Linked DNA regions of Macaca fascicularis. The protein of the gene in region 1 purifies or fractionates together with the protein of each later gene. This does not show direct contact. Links are inferred from orthologs where the notes say so. Each region holds a gene or a part of one and is shown on either strand. Other genes may lie near its edges. The genes, in order: ARRDC3, WWP1, ADRB2 and ITCH.

The links.
Region 2: the proteins of ARRDC3 (region 1) and WWP1 purify together in Homo sapiens (affinity purification with mass spectrometry; 4 studies listed by BioGRID and IntAct, counting the BioPlex papers as one, with this or other methods). This does not show direct contact. The link is inferred for Macaca fascicularis from reciprocal best matches to the Homo sapiens genes ARRDC3 and WWP1.
Region 3: the proteins of ARRDC3 (region 1) and ADRB2 purify together in Homo sapiens (affinity purification with western blotting; 6 studies listed by BioGRID and IntAct, with this or other methods). This does not show direct contact. The link is inferred for Macaca fascicularis from reciprocal best matches to the Homo sapiens genes ARRDC3 and ADRB2.
Region 4: the proteins of ARRDC3 (region 1) and ITCH purify together in Homo sapiens (co-immunoprecipitation; 5 studies listed by BioGRID and IntAct, counting the BioPlex papers as one, with this or other methods). This does not show direct contact. The link is inferred for Macaca fascicularis from reciprocal best matches to the Homo sapiens genes ARRDC3 and ITCH.

Annotation. Positions count from the first base shown.
Region 1 is NC_088380.1:95,368,880-95,372,443, forward strand, and holds part of ARRDC3 (arrestin domain-containing protein 3), read right to left. Parts: intron 3,528-3,564; coding exon 3,380-3,527; intron 2,370-3,379; coding exon 2,267-2,369; intron 1,531-2,266; coding exon 1,274-1,530; intron 635-1,273; coding exon 472-634; intron 231-471; exon of another isoform or gene 193-230; coding exon 38-192; intron 1-37. UniProt on the Homo sapiens protein: Adapter protein that plays a role in regulating cell-surface expression of adrenergic receptors and probably also other G protein-coupled receptors.
Region 2 is NC_088382.1:96,097,571-96,101,597, forward strand, and holds the start of WWP1 (NEDD4-like E3 ubiquitin-protein ligase WWP1), read left to right. Parts: upstream 1-1,192; 5' UTR 1,193-1,385; intron 1,386-4,027. UniProt on the Homo sapiens protein: E3 ubiquitin-protein ligase which accepts ubiquitin from an E2 ubiquitin-conjugating enzyme in the form of a thioester and then directly transfers the ubiquitin to targeted substrates.
Region 3 is NC_088380.1:155,702,006-155,706,281, forward strand, and holds the start of ADRB2 (beta-2 adrenergic receptor), read left to right. Parts: upstream 1-1,442; 5' UTR 1,443-1,663; coding exon 1,664-2,843; coding exon of another isoform or gene 2,844-2,911; exon of another isoform or gene 2,912-3,454; intron 3,455-4,276. UniProt on the Homo sapiens protein: Beta-adrenergic receptors mediate the catecholamine-induced activation of adenylate cyclase through the action of G proteins. The beta-2-adrenergic receptor binds epinephrine with an approximately 30-fold greater affinity than it does norepinephrine.
Region 4 is NC_088384.1:90,523,319-90,526,882, reverse strand, and holds part of ITCH (E3 ubiquitin-protein ligase Itchy homolog), read right to left. Parts: intron 2,715-3,564; coding exon 2,555-2,714; intron 1,757-2,554; coding exon 1,623-1,756; intron 1,293-1,622; coding exon 1,152-1,292; intron 1-1,151. UniProt on the Homo sapiens protein: Acts as an Acts as an E3 ubiquitin-protein ligase which accepts ubiquitin from an E2 ubiquitin-conjugating enzyme in the form of a thioester and then directly transfers the ubiquitin to targeted substrates.

The DNA.
Region 1 (3,564 bases):
CAGCCAGTTCATTGCACACTTAAGAGTAGGTACTTACTTCTGAATAAAGAGGCGGAGGCAAGAACCGAAACTCCTGGATATATGCAAACAGTGGTCCTTGAAGCGCTCTCTCAAAGTCATCACAAGCATTCACTGGTGCAAGATTGTTCCGCCTTTGTTCCTCTGTTACCACTTCTGCATAGCTGGGTGGTGCTGAAGGAAAAAGATACACGCAATTCGAACAGCATGTTCTTATGCATGTCAAAATACACAAAATAGTAGGTATTAAAAAGCAATGTCAAGGTAAAATAATAATTATTTGTTTGGTGATTAAAACTATGAAGACATATAATCAAAACTGAGTATTAGGGGCACATCTACTTTCTTTAGGGGAAGATTACATTCATCTAGGGTCATAAAATATCAGAAGCAAAATAATTTTCTTGATAATAATAGTAAGAAATTAAGCTTAGATATGTATTATCAAATTACCTTCAGGTCTTTCAGGAAGTGATAAACTGAGCCAGTTCATATTCATGCTACACTGACTGCTTACACTTGAGGTTCTGCTACCAAATGGATGTAGAGGAATGGTACCGATGACAAGTGGCAAATTAAGAAATAAATCCATAGCTCCAGGAATATCCACATATACCTAAACATTGCAAAGAAATATTACGTTTAGAATGCCAAGTATGATTTCCTTTTCAAAAACTAATAACCAATTTTAATGTTATTTGAAACCCCCATTTACTTCATTTTTTATCTTACATACATGAAAAGTTTCTCTTTTATGTATAATTCTATATAGTACATTTACATATAAGGTATAATTATAAGTCAAACTATATAAAGAGTTATGTATTTCATATGTCACTATATATGGAATTAAAAAACCTGGATGTAAGACAAAATTATGTCTCCATAACTTTAAGATTAAAAACAAAACAAAACAAAACACCAAAGACTTCTTGGGCCAGGCACTATGGCTCAGCCTCTAATTCCAACACTTTGGGAGGCCATGGTGGGTGGATCACTTGAGCCCAGGAGTTCAAGACCAACCTGGGTGACATGGTGAAACTCCATCACGACAAAAAATACAAAAATTATCCAGGCCTGGCTACAGGCACACTTGTATTCCCAGCTACTTGGGAGGCTCAGGTGGGAGGACCACTGGAGCCCAGAAAGCAGAGGCTGCAGCAGAGCTGAGACTGTGCCGTGGCACTCCAGCCTGGGTGACAGGTGTTTCAAAAAAGAAAAAAGAAAGGAAAAAACCTCTTAAATGTGTACATACCATTAGTGAATATTCCACACGGATTATACTACAGTCGAGGATAGAGGGAGAAACTGGTGGAATTTTCAGCAACTTGCCATTCCACGTCTCTGTCTTTCCAGATGATAAGGATTCCCCACGCAAGTTAGCCACAAGCTGTTTTACTTCCTTCATTTTCCCTTTGGCATAGAAGGCCTGTGTTTGGTAAATGGCTGCCTTTGGCACCACCATTCGGGAAGAGCAGTTCTCAATCTCAGCAAATATCTGAATTGATTCACCTAGAGAGGGAAAAATATATACATATCTACTGTTAGAAAAAAATAACAAAAGAAATCAAGAATCTTTTTTTTTTTTTTTTGAGAGAGTCTCGCTCTGTCGCCCGGTTAGAAAAAAATAACAAAAGAAATCAAGAATCTTTTTTTTTTTTGAGAGAGTCTCGCTCTGTCGCCCAGGCTGGAGTGCAGTGGCCAGATCTCAGCTCACTGCAAGCTCCGCCTCCCGGGTTTACGCCATTCTCCTGCCTCAGCCTCCCGAGTAGCTGGGACTACAGGCGCCCGCCACCTCGCCCGGCTAGTGTTTTTTTTTTTTTTTTTTTTTTTTTTTGGTATTTTTCAGTAGAGACGGGGTTTCACCAGGTTAGCCAGGATGGTCTCGATCTCCTGACCTCGTGATCCGCCCGTTTCGGCCTCCCAAAGTGCTGGGATTACAGGCTTGAGCCACTGCGCCTGGCCAAGAAATCAAGATTCTTAAAGCTAAAGTAAGAAAGAGCAACTAACATGCACGAAAAGGTGTCCTAGGAACTGCAAATAACTTAAGAGTCATAGAAATGAACTCATCAGTAGCTATTTGAAAAAGGAAACTACATTCTATTTTGTGAAAAAACAAATGGAAAAGCACAATTTGTAATTTCACAAAAGAATACGATATTATGTTGATATTTAATAGTTATATTATAAATTTATACACAAAAGCTAAGTGAAGAAAGTTTTTTGTGGGAATCTACCTCATACATACCTGGGGTATAGCCCTTCCTTTCAATTTTGGCACTTAAGGATATTGGGCCTGAGGTACAGAACCAGCAACAGAGTGTCTTTTCTTTTGTGCCTGCTTGGGGTGACTGTAAGAAAACAATTTAGAGAAAAAGGTCAGTGTATGGATTGGTACAATCAATACCAGAATATTTTAAAATATAATCCTAAATTTGTGGAAAAATAAAAATTAAAACTGGTTTTGCTTTTTTTTTTGGATCCAGATATACTTCTTATTTTTTAACTAATTGATGGTTTTGAATTATACCATTACTTTTATTTTTATATAAATTTCCATTCAATTAGAAAAAAAAGGTAAAGGGTGTACAGCGTTTCCCATAAACAGTTTTTTAGTTCACACTATTTACAAATACAGTAATGAAAAACCAACCAAATAAAAAAAACCCTTTCCACATTCCATTTAAACTGCCTTAAAAAGGCAGCACAGAAAGCAATCTGACTATAATTCCAAATGTTAACATCTTCCTCTGAGAATATAAAAAAAAATGTAAAAAAAGGAAAATGCCCATTTCTTATTTGCTTTAAAGATGTTATCATTTGTTTAAACCAAATACAGTTTTAAGTCAAATTTGATTTATTCTCAGACAAATGCAATTAAAAATAGATTCTTTTAAAAAAGGAGTTTTTTTAATGAAACGAATGATTCCCCATTATTTGACAACTATCCCTCTATTGGAATAACAAAGTATAGTACAAATTTTAGATTATGATGTTGTCAAGTTAAGTGATATTGTATTACAATAAAAGATACTACTGTCCTTCTTCCACTCAAATCATCCAAGGACCAGATCTGTTTGTTGTTATGGCTTTTGTTACTCATATTGTGAGTAAGAGATACTTCATATCATATACTGGTCTTAGTTTCATATTTACTTAAAGGTACTACAATGTCAAAAATGTGAGCATATTTTTCATTAATTTCAGTGTTCTTGACTGTATTTAAGAAAATGTATATTTATGGAATTTTAAAAGAAAACCAGTATTTTTAAATTATGACAACTGCATAGTTTAGGTGATTGATTATTCTTTAATATTTATATGCCAAAAACAAAGAATGAATAATTCAGTCAATTCTTACCAGTAATGAAGGAGTGTTGATATCTATATGCTCAAAGACTGTAAATTCCTTCTTTAATTTTACTGGTAGTAGCCAAGGCCTGTGCAATTCGGCTTTCACCCAATAGCGCACACTGCCATGTCGGCCTTCGAATGAGGTAGCAAGTGGTCTGTGCAGAATATAAAGGTCAATATATTAATTTTATA
Region 2 (4,027 bases), on another chromosome or scaffold:
TCTGTACACACTGATGAAGCGATGGCGCTGTTTTTGGTACACAGTTCAAAAGCTCAGTTAAAATGGAAGGGGAGAGAGAACCACAGGTTTTAAAATCAAGGGAAAATTTAGGACCTAGTCTTAAAACGTGATTATGCTGAGAGTTGTAGGCAGTGGAGACAGTGAAGTTAAAGATGTGCCAAGGACCGCTCAAAATGGGGAGCAGGCAGTGGAGAGGGGCAGGGGCATCTGGCCCTAGACAGAAGGAAAACTAGTAAGTCTGGGTGTGGACGTAGATATAATCTATCGGGGTTGGTCAGGTGGTTGGGAAAGCTGTAGAAATCCATGCCTGAAGGCTTCTGCTTCTCTGAAGTAGGAACCGGATCACCTGGTAAGTAATGTGGTCTCACGGACTTCTATTTGCATATTGACCTTTCTTCTAAAAGCAATACATATAACCAGCAGCACTTTTCTAAACCAGTTGACTTTTCTGTAAAATGCAGACAGTAGACGCTACTTTATCAGATTGTTGTGTGCGTTAGTTGTGCCAACACGTGTACTTGGTCAGTAAGTATCTGCTTTATCACTGGGCTGATGTGAGTGAGGACTAGGTGGTGGGACTTCCACAGATGAACGTTTTGATTAATAAAAAACGGACTGAAAGTCTTCGGGTATGACCAACAGCTAAATGCAATTATTTACTCTTGCAATGGGTTCGAGGTCAAACACTCAGGTCACGGAGTATTTATGAACAGCCTACTTTTGCCCCCGGACTTTAAGAAGTCCTGTTCCGGGCTCGACCGCCGACCGGAAAGTCAAATTAGCAGTGCCCAGAGCGCGTTTAGAGCAGCCCCTGCCCAAATCTCAGCGACGGCCCCGCCCCTTCCACAGGTTCAGGCCCCGCCCCTCCCTGCTATTGGCTGTCCCTCCCCCTCCGCTCGACCGCTCGGAAGACCAGGAGGAGCGGAGTTTTCCTAAGGCAGCATCCGAGCGCCCTCGCTGCGCATGCTCGGGGGAGGCGGATTCCGGGTCCGGAGTTGGAGGCTTTGGGCGGCCGCGGCGTAGCGCGCTGTGCCGGGGCCGGCGGGGAGGCGCGCGCTCGGGGCGCGGCGCCGGCGACGCGGCCACGCGGCGCGCTCCCGAGGAAGGGAGGTGTGGGGTCGGCTGGGGGTGGCGCGTGGCCGGGGTGGGGGTGGGGGGAGGGTCGGGTGTCGGCAAGCTCCGCGTGCGGGTTCCGAGTGGCTGCTGGCGGCCTGGGCTGCCGGGGCCGACGCCTGGGTGGCTGCCGCCGCCGCGCCTGCTGCGAGATGGCGATCTTGGGCGCGGAAGGGTGAGGGCGCCCGCCGCAGGAGGAGGTGCCGCTGCCGTGGCCGCCCGGCTGCCGGGAGCCGACAGCTTCGCGCCGGGTAAGGACGGCGCGGCGCGGGGCTGGGGGTGCGGGCGCCCAGGGCGGGAGGGGGCACGGGCCCGGAGCCTTGGTCGCGGTGCTGGGCGCCCGGCGCCGTCCGCCTCCGGGCTGGACCCTCCTAGGGGCCGTCGGGGGACGGTCCGCCCTACCTTGGCTGCCTTCTCCAGCCAGGGAGTCGGGAGTTTTCTAGGGTGGGGTCACGGGTCTTGCCCGGAGTTCGTCCTGGCACAGGCCTGTGCCAGTGATCCTGGAGCGGAGCGAAGTGTTTCCGTGACTCTGCAGCTGCAGTTCTTAGGCTTTCTTAGCCTTCTCTTCGCCTTCCTCCACCTTTCCCTAACACCTCCCTCAAAACACAAATATATGGACTCATTGCCCGTGCCCTGACTTTAACCCCAATTTGAGCGTTGCAAACCAAGGACTCCAGCCTTGGAACGTCTTTTTCTGACATGTTTTTATCACTCCCCGTTCTTCACCGACTCTGCAGCTCCCCATCCCCCGCCCCCCCATCGCAACCCCCACCTCCACCTTTTGTGACCTGGTAGGTTCCAGTGACCTTGCAGATTTTACCAGTCCTTATCTTGTCTGTGACTTACAGACTCTCCTTTCATCTTCGTGTCCTTTTTTAAAAACATTTAATTTTGTAGTTTGCTCCTTACCTTTACGACCTTTAAATGATCAGTCTTGTTCACAGTCCTTTCTTTGCTCTGTCGATTTGGAGTTTTCTTTGCTCTGGTAAATATATGAAACCTTCATTACCAAAGAAGAGTAGTGTCTGTTATAATTTTGACATTTTTACTCTTACAGAATAAAAATATTTTTCAGGGGCTTGATTTTGCTTTCTTTTTCTATTTGATAAGTTTAACAAAATTTTGTGTGTGTGTAGGTTAATGTAGAACAAGATTTTGTGTTTCTGCTTTAAAATGTTACTAGTAATAGTAATGGGGGAAAAAATCATGTCCAAAGTTATATTTGTTTTCCCCATTTGGTGTTTTTACCTGAAATACTTGGTTTACAGTTACCTGCATTTTTTTTTTTTTTAAAACAAGAGTTCATGTGTAAATCCACTTTACCTGCCTCACCAAATCTGTGTGTATTACGTAAGCAAAATGCACCTTTTAAAAAAGAAAGACATTCTTTTATTGTGTGACTTGTTTTTAGCCATCAAGTAGTAAATTAGCTGCGACTAGAAATGATCATTTTTTATAAATGGTTAGTATGTTAAAAAATGGAAAGTGTAGTGGCCAAGTGTTGGGAGCTACTCAGATTGGGAATTGTAAAGTATTTGGAATAGTTCTTTGGGACATAGCTTATTAACATTTTCAGATAGTTCTTACCTTAAAATGCGAAACTGCTGGTAAGATCTACATCAGGGTTTTGAAAAGCAATAATTATGAGCTACCGGCATAATACAGGATGTCACAGATAAAGTCTCTGCCTTCAAAGAGATGGTAATCTTTGCTGTTTACCCCACGGTGGCTGAAATTTCCTTTACTTCCTTGTACAGTTGTTAAGCATTTACTGCATAATTGTGGGAGGTATTTTGGGGAATACAAAGATGAACCGATTAGCAGTTTCTGCCTTCACACTAATTAGGTAGATAGTGCTATACACAAATGCCCTATTTGTCTTTTAATATATAAGTTTCATAAATGGTACCAAAATCCTCTCAGAAGTAAACTTCAAAGAGTAGAGCTCAGATCTTACTTGGCAAGGTAGAGATAAGAGGGTTAGTTTGTAGAGCTTATGGCTTCTGAAATCATGGTTTGGAAGGACGATTATGACTTTGGATAGGCAGGAAAGGTAATCCAAGCAAAGAGGTATCTCTCTAAGAGAGCACAGAGTCCCTATTTAGGGAGAGGCACGTACTTATGTTTGGATGGAACATAAGCTTATTTGTACCAGGATAAAGGATGGTAAAACTTGAAGGGAAAATTTGAACTAGTTTATGGGTTGTTTTTAATGCCAGGCTTATGACCTTGGATTTACTAGGTGATGGGGCTTCCACAGATGATTTTGAGTTGGGAGTGAAACAATTTGAACACTTTGTTTCAGAAGGATTAGTGGGATAGCGGCCTGTAGTGTGAATTGAGGTAGGGAGAACCTGGAGGTAGAAAGACCTCCCAGTTTTTGTAGTCATGGGTAGTGAGGATCTGAGCTGTGGTGCAGGCGAATGGAAAGGAAGAAAGGAAGTCGAATAGCCAAAATGGATGAGAGGGCAAGTGAAGAAAGTAAAAATAACTGATTCTGATTCAGGTTGGTTGGGAGAACAGTGGTACCATTTTGAGCAAGATCATGAAGCTTTACCCTTAGCATGTGTGTGCTACTTTACAACTTTTTGGGGATTACTAATTCTTAGTAAAACTTATGCTGGCCTGGAAATTTTCCATATGTGCCTATGCTTCGTGGATATAATTTTAGCGGAGTCCATGGGCCACATGAAGGTCATCCACAACACTCATGTCGGAATTACTTGGAGCTTTTTTCTATTTTCGAGGCAGGATTTCTTTCACTCCTGTCCCTATGGTTGGAGTGCAGTGGTGCCTTCTGGGTGCATTGCAACCTCCGCCTCCCAGGCTCAAGAGATTCTCCTGCCTCAGTCTCCTGTGTAGCTGGAACTACAGGCACTTGCCACCACACCCG
Region 3 (4,276 bases), about 60 Mb from region 1:
TTATTTTTTTGAGATGGAGTCTTGCTCTGTCACCCAGGCTGAAGTGCAGTGGCACGGTCTCGCCTCACTGCAACCTCCACCTCCCAGGTTCAAGTGATTCTCCTGTCCCAGCCTCCCGAGTAGCTAAGACTACAAGTGCCCGCCTGGCTAATTTTTGTATTTTTAGTAGAGACAGAGTTACACCATATTGGCCAAGATCTTTTGCTTTCTATAGCTCCAAATGTTCTTAATGTTAAGACACTCTTAAGACTCTGAACCATATGAATTTGCCATTTTGGTAAGTCACAGACGCCAGATGGTGGCAATTTCATATGGTGCAACCCGAAAGATTAACAAACTATCCAGCAGATGAAAGGAATTTTTTAGTTGCATTGGGATTACTGAAGAAATTGTTTGAATTCTCAGTGCATCTCCAGTTCAACAGATAATGAGGGAGTGATGCCACACTCTCAAGAGTTAAAAACAAAACAACAACAAAAAAATTAAAACAAAAGTACACAACTTTCTCTCTCCGTCCCGAAATACATACATGCATACTCCTGCTCCAGGTGAAATCCAAAGGGTAAAACTGTCTTCATGCCTGCAAATTCCCAAGGAGGGCACCCAAAGTACTTGACAACGAGTGTGCTGAGGAAATCGGCAGCTGTTGAAGTCACCTCCTGTGTGCTCTTGCCAAATGTTTGAAAGTGAATATACTGGGTTACCGGGTGTATGCTGGGAGGGGGGCATTAGCAGTGCTTGGGTGAGGGAAGTTTGTGAGTACCCAGATGGAGACATCCGTGTCTGTGTCGCTCTGGATGCCTCCAAGCCAGCGTGTGTGTTTACTTTCTGTGTGTGTCACCATGCCTTTGTGCTTCTGGGTGCTTCTGTGTTTGTGGCCGCGTTTCTGTGTTGGACAGGGGTGACTTTGTGCCTGACAGCTTCTGTGTGAGCGCGCGCGCGAGTGTGCATGTCGGTGAGCTGGGAGGGTGTGTCTCAGTGTCTATAGCTGTGGTTCCGTATAAGTCTGAGCATGTCTGCCGGGGTGTATTTGTGCCTGTATGTGCGTGCCTTGGTGGGCACTCTCGTTTCTCTCCGAATGTGGGGCAGTGCCGGTGTGTGCTGCCCTCTGCCCTGAGACCTCAGGCCGCGCAGGCGCCCAGGGCAGGCAGGTAGCGGCCACAGAAGAGCCAAAAGCTGCTGGGTTGGCTGGTAAGCACGCCAGCTCCAGCTTTAGCCCTCTGGGGCCAGCCAGGGTAGCCGGGAAGGAGTGGTGGCCCGCCCGCCGGGGAGCAGCTGGGCCCCTCCCGGGCCAGCCCGAGCAGAGGGAGGGCGAGAGGAGGGGAGGAAAGGGGATGGGTGCCTCGCCCCTTCGGGCCTGCCGGCGTGCCATTGGCCGAAAGTTCCCTTACGTCACGGCGAGGGCAGTTCCCCTAAAGTCCTGTGCACATAACGGGCAGAGCGCACTCCGAGGCGGCTTCTCCAGAGCACGGGCTGGAACTGGCGGGCACCGCGAGCCCCTGGCACCCGACAAGCTAAGTGTACAAGACGTGTCCCCACCACACCCACCCCACGGCCGCTGAATGAGGCTTCCAGGAGTCCGCTCGCGGCCCGCAGAGCCCCGCCGGGGGTCCGCCCGCTGAGGCGCCTGCAGACAGTGCGCTCACCTGCCAGACTGCGCGCCATGGGGCAACCCGGGAACGGCAGCGCCTTCTTGCTGGCACCCAACGGAAGCCATGCGCCGGACCACGATGTCACGCAGGAACGGGACGAGGCGTGGGTGGTGGGCATGGGCATCGTCATGTCTCTCATCGTCCTGGCCATCGTGTTTGGCAATGTGCTGGTCATCACAGCCATTGCCAAGTTCGAGCGTCTGCAGACGGTCACCAACTACTTCATCACTTCACTGGCCTGTGCTGACTTAGTCATGGGCTTGGCAGTGGTGCCCTTTGGGGCCGCCCATATTCTCATGAAAATGTGGACTTTTGGCAACTTCTGGTGCGAGTTTTGGACTTCCATTGATGTGCTGTGCGTCACAGCCAGCATTGAGACCTTGTGCGTGATCGCAGTGGATCGCTACTTTGCCATTACTTCACCCTTCAAGTATCAGAGCCTGCTGACCAAGAATAAGGCCCGGGTGATCATTCTGATGGTGTGGATCGTGTCAGGCCTTACCTCCTTCTTGCCCATTCAGATGCACTGGTACCGGGCCACCCACCAGGAAGCCATCAACTGCTATGCCAAGGAGACCTGCTGTGACTTCTTCACGAACCAAGCCTATGCCATTGCCTCCTCCATCGTGTCCTTCTACGTTCCCCTGGTGATCATGGTCTTCGTCTACTCCAGGGTCTTTCAGGAGGCCAAAAGGCAGCTCCAGAAGATTGACAAATCTGAGGGCCGCTTCCATGCCCAGAACCTTAGCCAGGTGGAGCAGGATGGGCGGACAGGGCATGGACTCCGCAGATCTTCCAAGTTCTGCTTGAAGGAGCACAAAGCCCTCAAGACGTTAGGCATCATCATGGGCACTTTCACCCTCTGCTGGCTGCCCTTCTTCATCGTTAACATTGTGCATGTGATCCAGGATAACCTCATCCCTAAGGAAGTTTACATCCTCCTAAATTGGGTGGGCTATGTCAATTCTGGTTTCAATCCCCTTATCTACTGCCGGAGCCCAGATTTCAGGATTGCCTTCCAGGAGCTTCTGTGTCTGCGCAGGTCTTCTTTGAAGGCCTGTGGGAATGGCTACTCCAGCAACAGCAATGGCAACACAGGGGAGCAGAGTGGATATCACCTGGAACAGGAGAAAGAAAATAAACTGCTGTGTGAAGACCTCCCAGGCACGGAAGACTTTGTGGGCCATCAAGGTACTGTGCCTAGCGATAACATTGATTCACAAGGGAGGAGTTGTAGTACAAATGACTCACTGCTGTAAAGCAGTTTTTCTACTTTTTAAGACCACCCCCCCCCCCAACAGAACACTAAACAGACTATTTAACTTGAGGGTAATAAACTTAGAATAAAATTGTATAGAGATATGCAGGAGGAGGGGCATCCTTCTGCCTTTTTTATTTTTTTAAGCTGTAAAAAGAGAGAAAACTTATTTGGTGATTATTTGTTATTTGTACAGTTCAGTTCCTCTTTGCATGGAATTTGTAAGTTTATGTCTAAAGGGCTTTAGTCCTAGAGGACCTGAGTCTGCTATGTTTTCATGACTTTTCCATGTATCTACCTCACTATTCAAGTATTAGGGGTAATATATTGCTGCTGGTAATTTGTATCTGAAGGAGATTTTCCTTCCCACACCCTCGGACTTGAGGATTTTGAATATCTCGGACCTTTCAGCTGTGAACATGGACTCTTCCCCGCTCCTCTTATTTGCTCACACGGGGTATTTTAGGCAGGGATTTGAGGAGCAGCTTCAGTTGTTTTCCTGAGCAAAGTCTAAAGTTTACAGTAAATAAATTGTTTGACCATGCCTTCATTGCACCTGTTTCTCCAAAACCCCTTGTCTGGAGTGCCATTGCCTCCCCGACTGGAAACCACAGGTAACTACTTGTAATAACTGCCCATGACTTAATGTAGAATGATACAAGAATGACATGCACAGATTGCTTAACCCTTTCATTTGCCTTTGAATCTGCTGCTGCAAAGCTGCATCTCTCCTGACACTCATGCCCCAAATCAGTTCTGCCTGCTCTTAGTATAGCTCAACTCTCCCTATGGTTATTGTTCTGTGTTGTTACCTCAGAAACACTGACTCACAGAAGCGGAGTTATGGGCATATGTTTTTTTTCTCTCCACGCGCCCCCACCACCCACCTTCCAGTTCTACTTGTTTCATAACTGTTTATATTTATGTCTTGGCCATGTGTTATAGTGGAGCTCTTTGTACTGCATCAGGGCTTGGCATTTTAGGGATAAGGAAGATGTTCTTGTGAGGAAGCTACTCGAACATGGCCCCGTAATTCCGAGGGAAAATTAAAAAGGCATCGGTCATGGGGAGAAAAACTGGAGAACACATAACTGATGGATACCACGTGACCTAGAAATAGAATTTTAACCCCTTTTCCTTCTTTCCTTTGGTCCCTGTTTTCTTCTCCCACTGACTCTCCTCGGTTCAGTATAAACCAAGGTTCTGAGTCTTGGCACTGTTAGCATTTTGGACCAGATAACTCTTTGTTGTGAGGGCTGCATCATTGGATGTTTAGCACCTCTGGCCTCTATTCATTAGATGCCAGGAGCATCCCCTGCTTATAACAGGCAAAAATGTTTCCAGATATTGCAAAAGAGCCCCTCAG
Region 4 (3,564 bases), on another chromosome or scaffold:
GATATGATATGGTCTTTTTTTTTTTTTAGACGGAGTCTCGCTCTGTCACCAGGCTGGAGTGCAGTGGTGCTATCTTGGCTCACTGCAAACTCCGCCTCCTGGGTTCAAGCCATTCTCCTGCCTCTGCCTCCCTAGTAGCTGGGATTACTGGCACATGCCACCACACCCAGCTAATTTTTGTATTTTTCGTAGAGACGGGGTTTCACCATATTGGCCAGGATGGTGTCAATCTCCTGACTTCGTGATCTGCCTGCCTTGGTCTTCCAAAGTGCTGGGATTACAGGCGTGAGCCACCGTGCCCAGCCAATGATGAGGTTTTTTTTTTTTTTTTTTTTTTTTTTGAGACGGAGTCTTGCTCTGTCGCCCAGGCTGGAGTGCAGTGGCCGGATCTCAGCTCACTGCAAGCTCCACCTCCCGGGTCTACGCCATTCTCCTGCCTCAGCCTCCGGAGTAGCTGGGACTACAGGCGCCCGCCACCTCGTCCGGCTAGTTTTTTGTGGTATTTTTTTTAGTAGAGACGGGGTTTCACCGTATTAGCCAGGCTGGTCTCGATCTCCTGACCTCGTGATCCGCCCATCTCGGCCTCCCAAAGTGCTGGGATTACAGGCTTGAGCCACCGCGCCCGGCCAATGATGAGGTTTTAAAAACAGAGTTTCCCTGTACAAGCTCTCTCTTTGCCTGCTGCCATCCATGTAAGATGTGACTTGCCCCTCCTTGCCTTCCACCGTGAGTGTGAGGCCTCCCCAGCCTCGTGAAACTGTAAGTCCATTAAACCTCTTTCTTTTGTAAATTGGCTAGTCTTGGGTATGTCTTTATCAGCAGCGGGAAAGTGGATTAATACACCTTACAATATTCCCTGTAAAAATATCTGCATATATATTTGAGATTCTTTTTAATGACATGTTATACAGCATAGTTACAGAATTGATATTTAAAAGAGTAATCCTGCATGACTTTTATCCTTAAACTCTTTCAAAAACACTTTTTGAAAAAAAAACTTTTTAGAAATGAAAAATGATTGCCTACATAGGATATTGATTAGTACAAAGACAAATATTATTTTTGGAGATAACTCTCCATTAGCATTAGTAAGCAATTATCAATACGCTGTAGTCAAACAAAAAGTGAAATGTGAAAAGGAGCACTCTCACCTGATGTATTCCTCTTTATTTTCTTCTGTTACAAGAATATTGCCACCATTAGGTTTCAGATCATGACTCTTAATTTCACCTAGAATTTCTTTGTCAACGGAGAAGTACATTTCCAAACCACATTCCTCAATATTGTTTTCTCTGCACAAATGAAATTAGCACTCTCTGTTATATCCACCAATTCAATCATAATTTATAAGTCTTTACCTAAGGCCCATATTCTTAAATAATTAAGTTATAACATCAAAATAAGAAGAAATAAGATTCTATTCTAAGGTCATCATATTATTGCCAAAGATCTTCGGTATATTTTTGTAAAATTTATCATATTGAATAAAAAGGCAGGTTTGATATATAGATCATTTAAATACAATAAACCAATTATGTGCTTACAGTTTGCATAGGTTATCAATACTACACGGAATGCATATAAACTATATTTTAATAAATTACATGGAAAAAGAAACTTACTTAACCCAGATGAGAGAATTGTAAAATTCTGGATCAATAGATTCTAAATCCTTGAGTCCAACTGGTTTGCTCAAGATACGCTTATAGAATGGTAGAGAAAAACTTGTGTCTATGATTTTCCCATGGAACAGAGCCTATGAAAAAAGGAAACAAGACTGCTTAAAATAATTGTACAATAATCATTTTATCTGAATATGTTAAATGAATTCTTCATTTAAAAACACTTCCCTGGGTCGGGCATGGTGGCTCACACCTGTAATCCCAGCAGTTTGGGAGGCCGAGGTGGGTGGATCACCTGAGGTCAGAAGTTCAAGACCATAATGACCAACATGGAGAAACCCCATCTCTACTAAAAACACAAAAATTAGCCAGGCGTGGTGGCACATCCTTGTAATCCCAGCTACTCAGGATGCTGAGGCAGGAGAATTGCTTGAACCTGAGAGGTGGAGGTTGTGGTGAGCCGAGATCACGCCACTGCACTCCAGCCCGGGCAACAAAAGTGAAACTTTGTCTCAAAAAAACACTTCCCTGGCTGGGCACGGTGGCTTACACCTGTAATCCCAGCACTTTGGGAGGCTGAGGTGGGTGGATTACCTGAGGTCAGGAATTCAAGACCAGCCTGGTCAACATGGCAAAACCCCATCTCTACTAAAAACACAAAAATTAGCTGGGTATGGTGGTGCACACCTGTAATCCCAGCTACTTGGGAGGCTGAGGCAGGAGGACTGATTGAGCCCAGGAGGCAGAGGTTGCAGTGAGCCAAGATTGTGTCACTGCACTCCAGCCTGGGTGATACAGCAAGACTCTGTCTCAAAAATAAAAAACAAAACAAAATCACTTCCCTTTCTCTCGTATGATCTGTTATGGCACCTAAGAGAAAATTTAGTATTGCTGAGTAAGCAAAGTAAACATAATTCTTGACCTGCACTTACCATGGCAATAAATCTGCCAATAAAACGAAAATATTTCAGGTGATCTGGATTGATGTAAGAAGCGGGGTTTATCTGCAAGCAGTAGTTATCCTTCCCTGCATATTCAAACAGGCAATACATTGGGTTCAACACTTCATGTGACAAAAGAAAGAACCATTCTCTGAAATCAAAAGAAAATTTACTATGAAAAATCTTGCAGGTTACCATGTCAACAAATCAAAGAACAGTGTTATAAAGTTCTCAGGGATCTATACCCCTCAGCTAGTGATAGTTTTCTAATCTCATGTTGATTTTTATTGCTTCTGTTCAAACTCACATCTATTTCACAGAGTTGGTAGTATACACCATCTCTGGTAGATGGTAATATATACATTATTACATTTTAAAGAATCTAAGACAACATTTTCCCAATTTTACCTGCGATATATCTTAATTTCAGAGATATTATAACATGAAAATACTGGTCTTAGAATCAATGAAATACTATTCATAGGCAAATTTAAAATTCACCATTCACCCATGTGAGTGGCTGAAATCAATCTAATATTCCATCTATTACTAAGTCCCATAATAATCCCCGTCAAGTGCCACTACTCCCTACACGTTAAATCAATATGAAAATTTCACAGAGGCAGTAAAGCACATAATTCCAGCCACTCACATATTAGAAAAATGCTGAGACTCTAAGTCAAATATTGTGAAAATATGAACCAATATTAACATAAGATTATGGTTACTAAAACTATGTAACATGGGTGATCTGGGGTAATACATGTGGCATAAGCCTGTAATCTGGATCTCTTTTCCTGTTAGTTCATGGCCTCTTCTGATAAGTGTATCTCGTGACACACTTTAATACTGCTAGTTGATTTTCTTATTAGGAATAAATGATTGCTCTTCTCTTCGATTGCCTTTAATTTATACAAAATTACATATTTCTACTCATATTTGTTATTTATCTATGATTATATCATATATTTTGAAATAATTTTATTTAAACTCAGAAACAT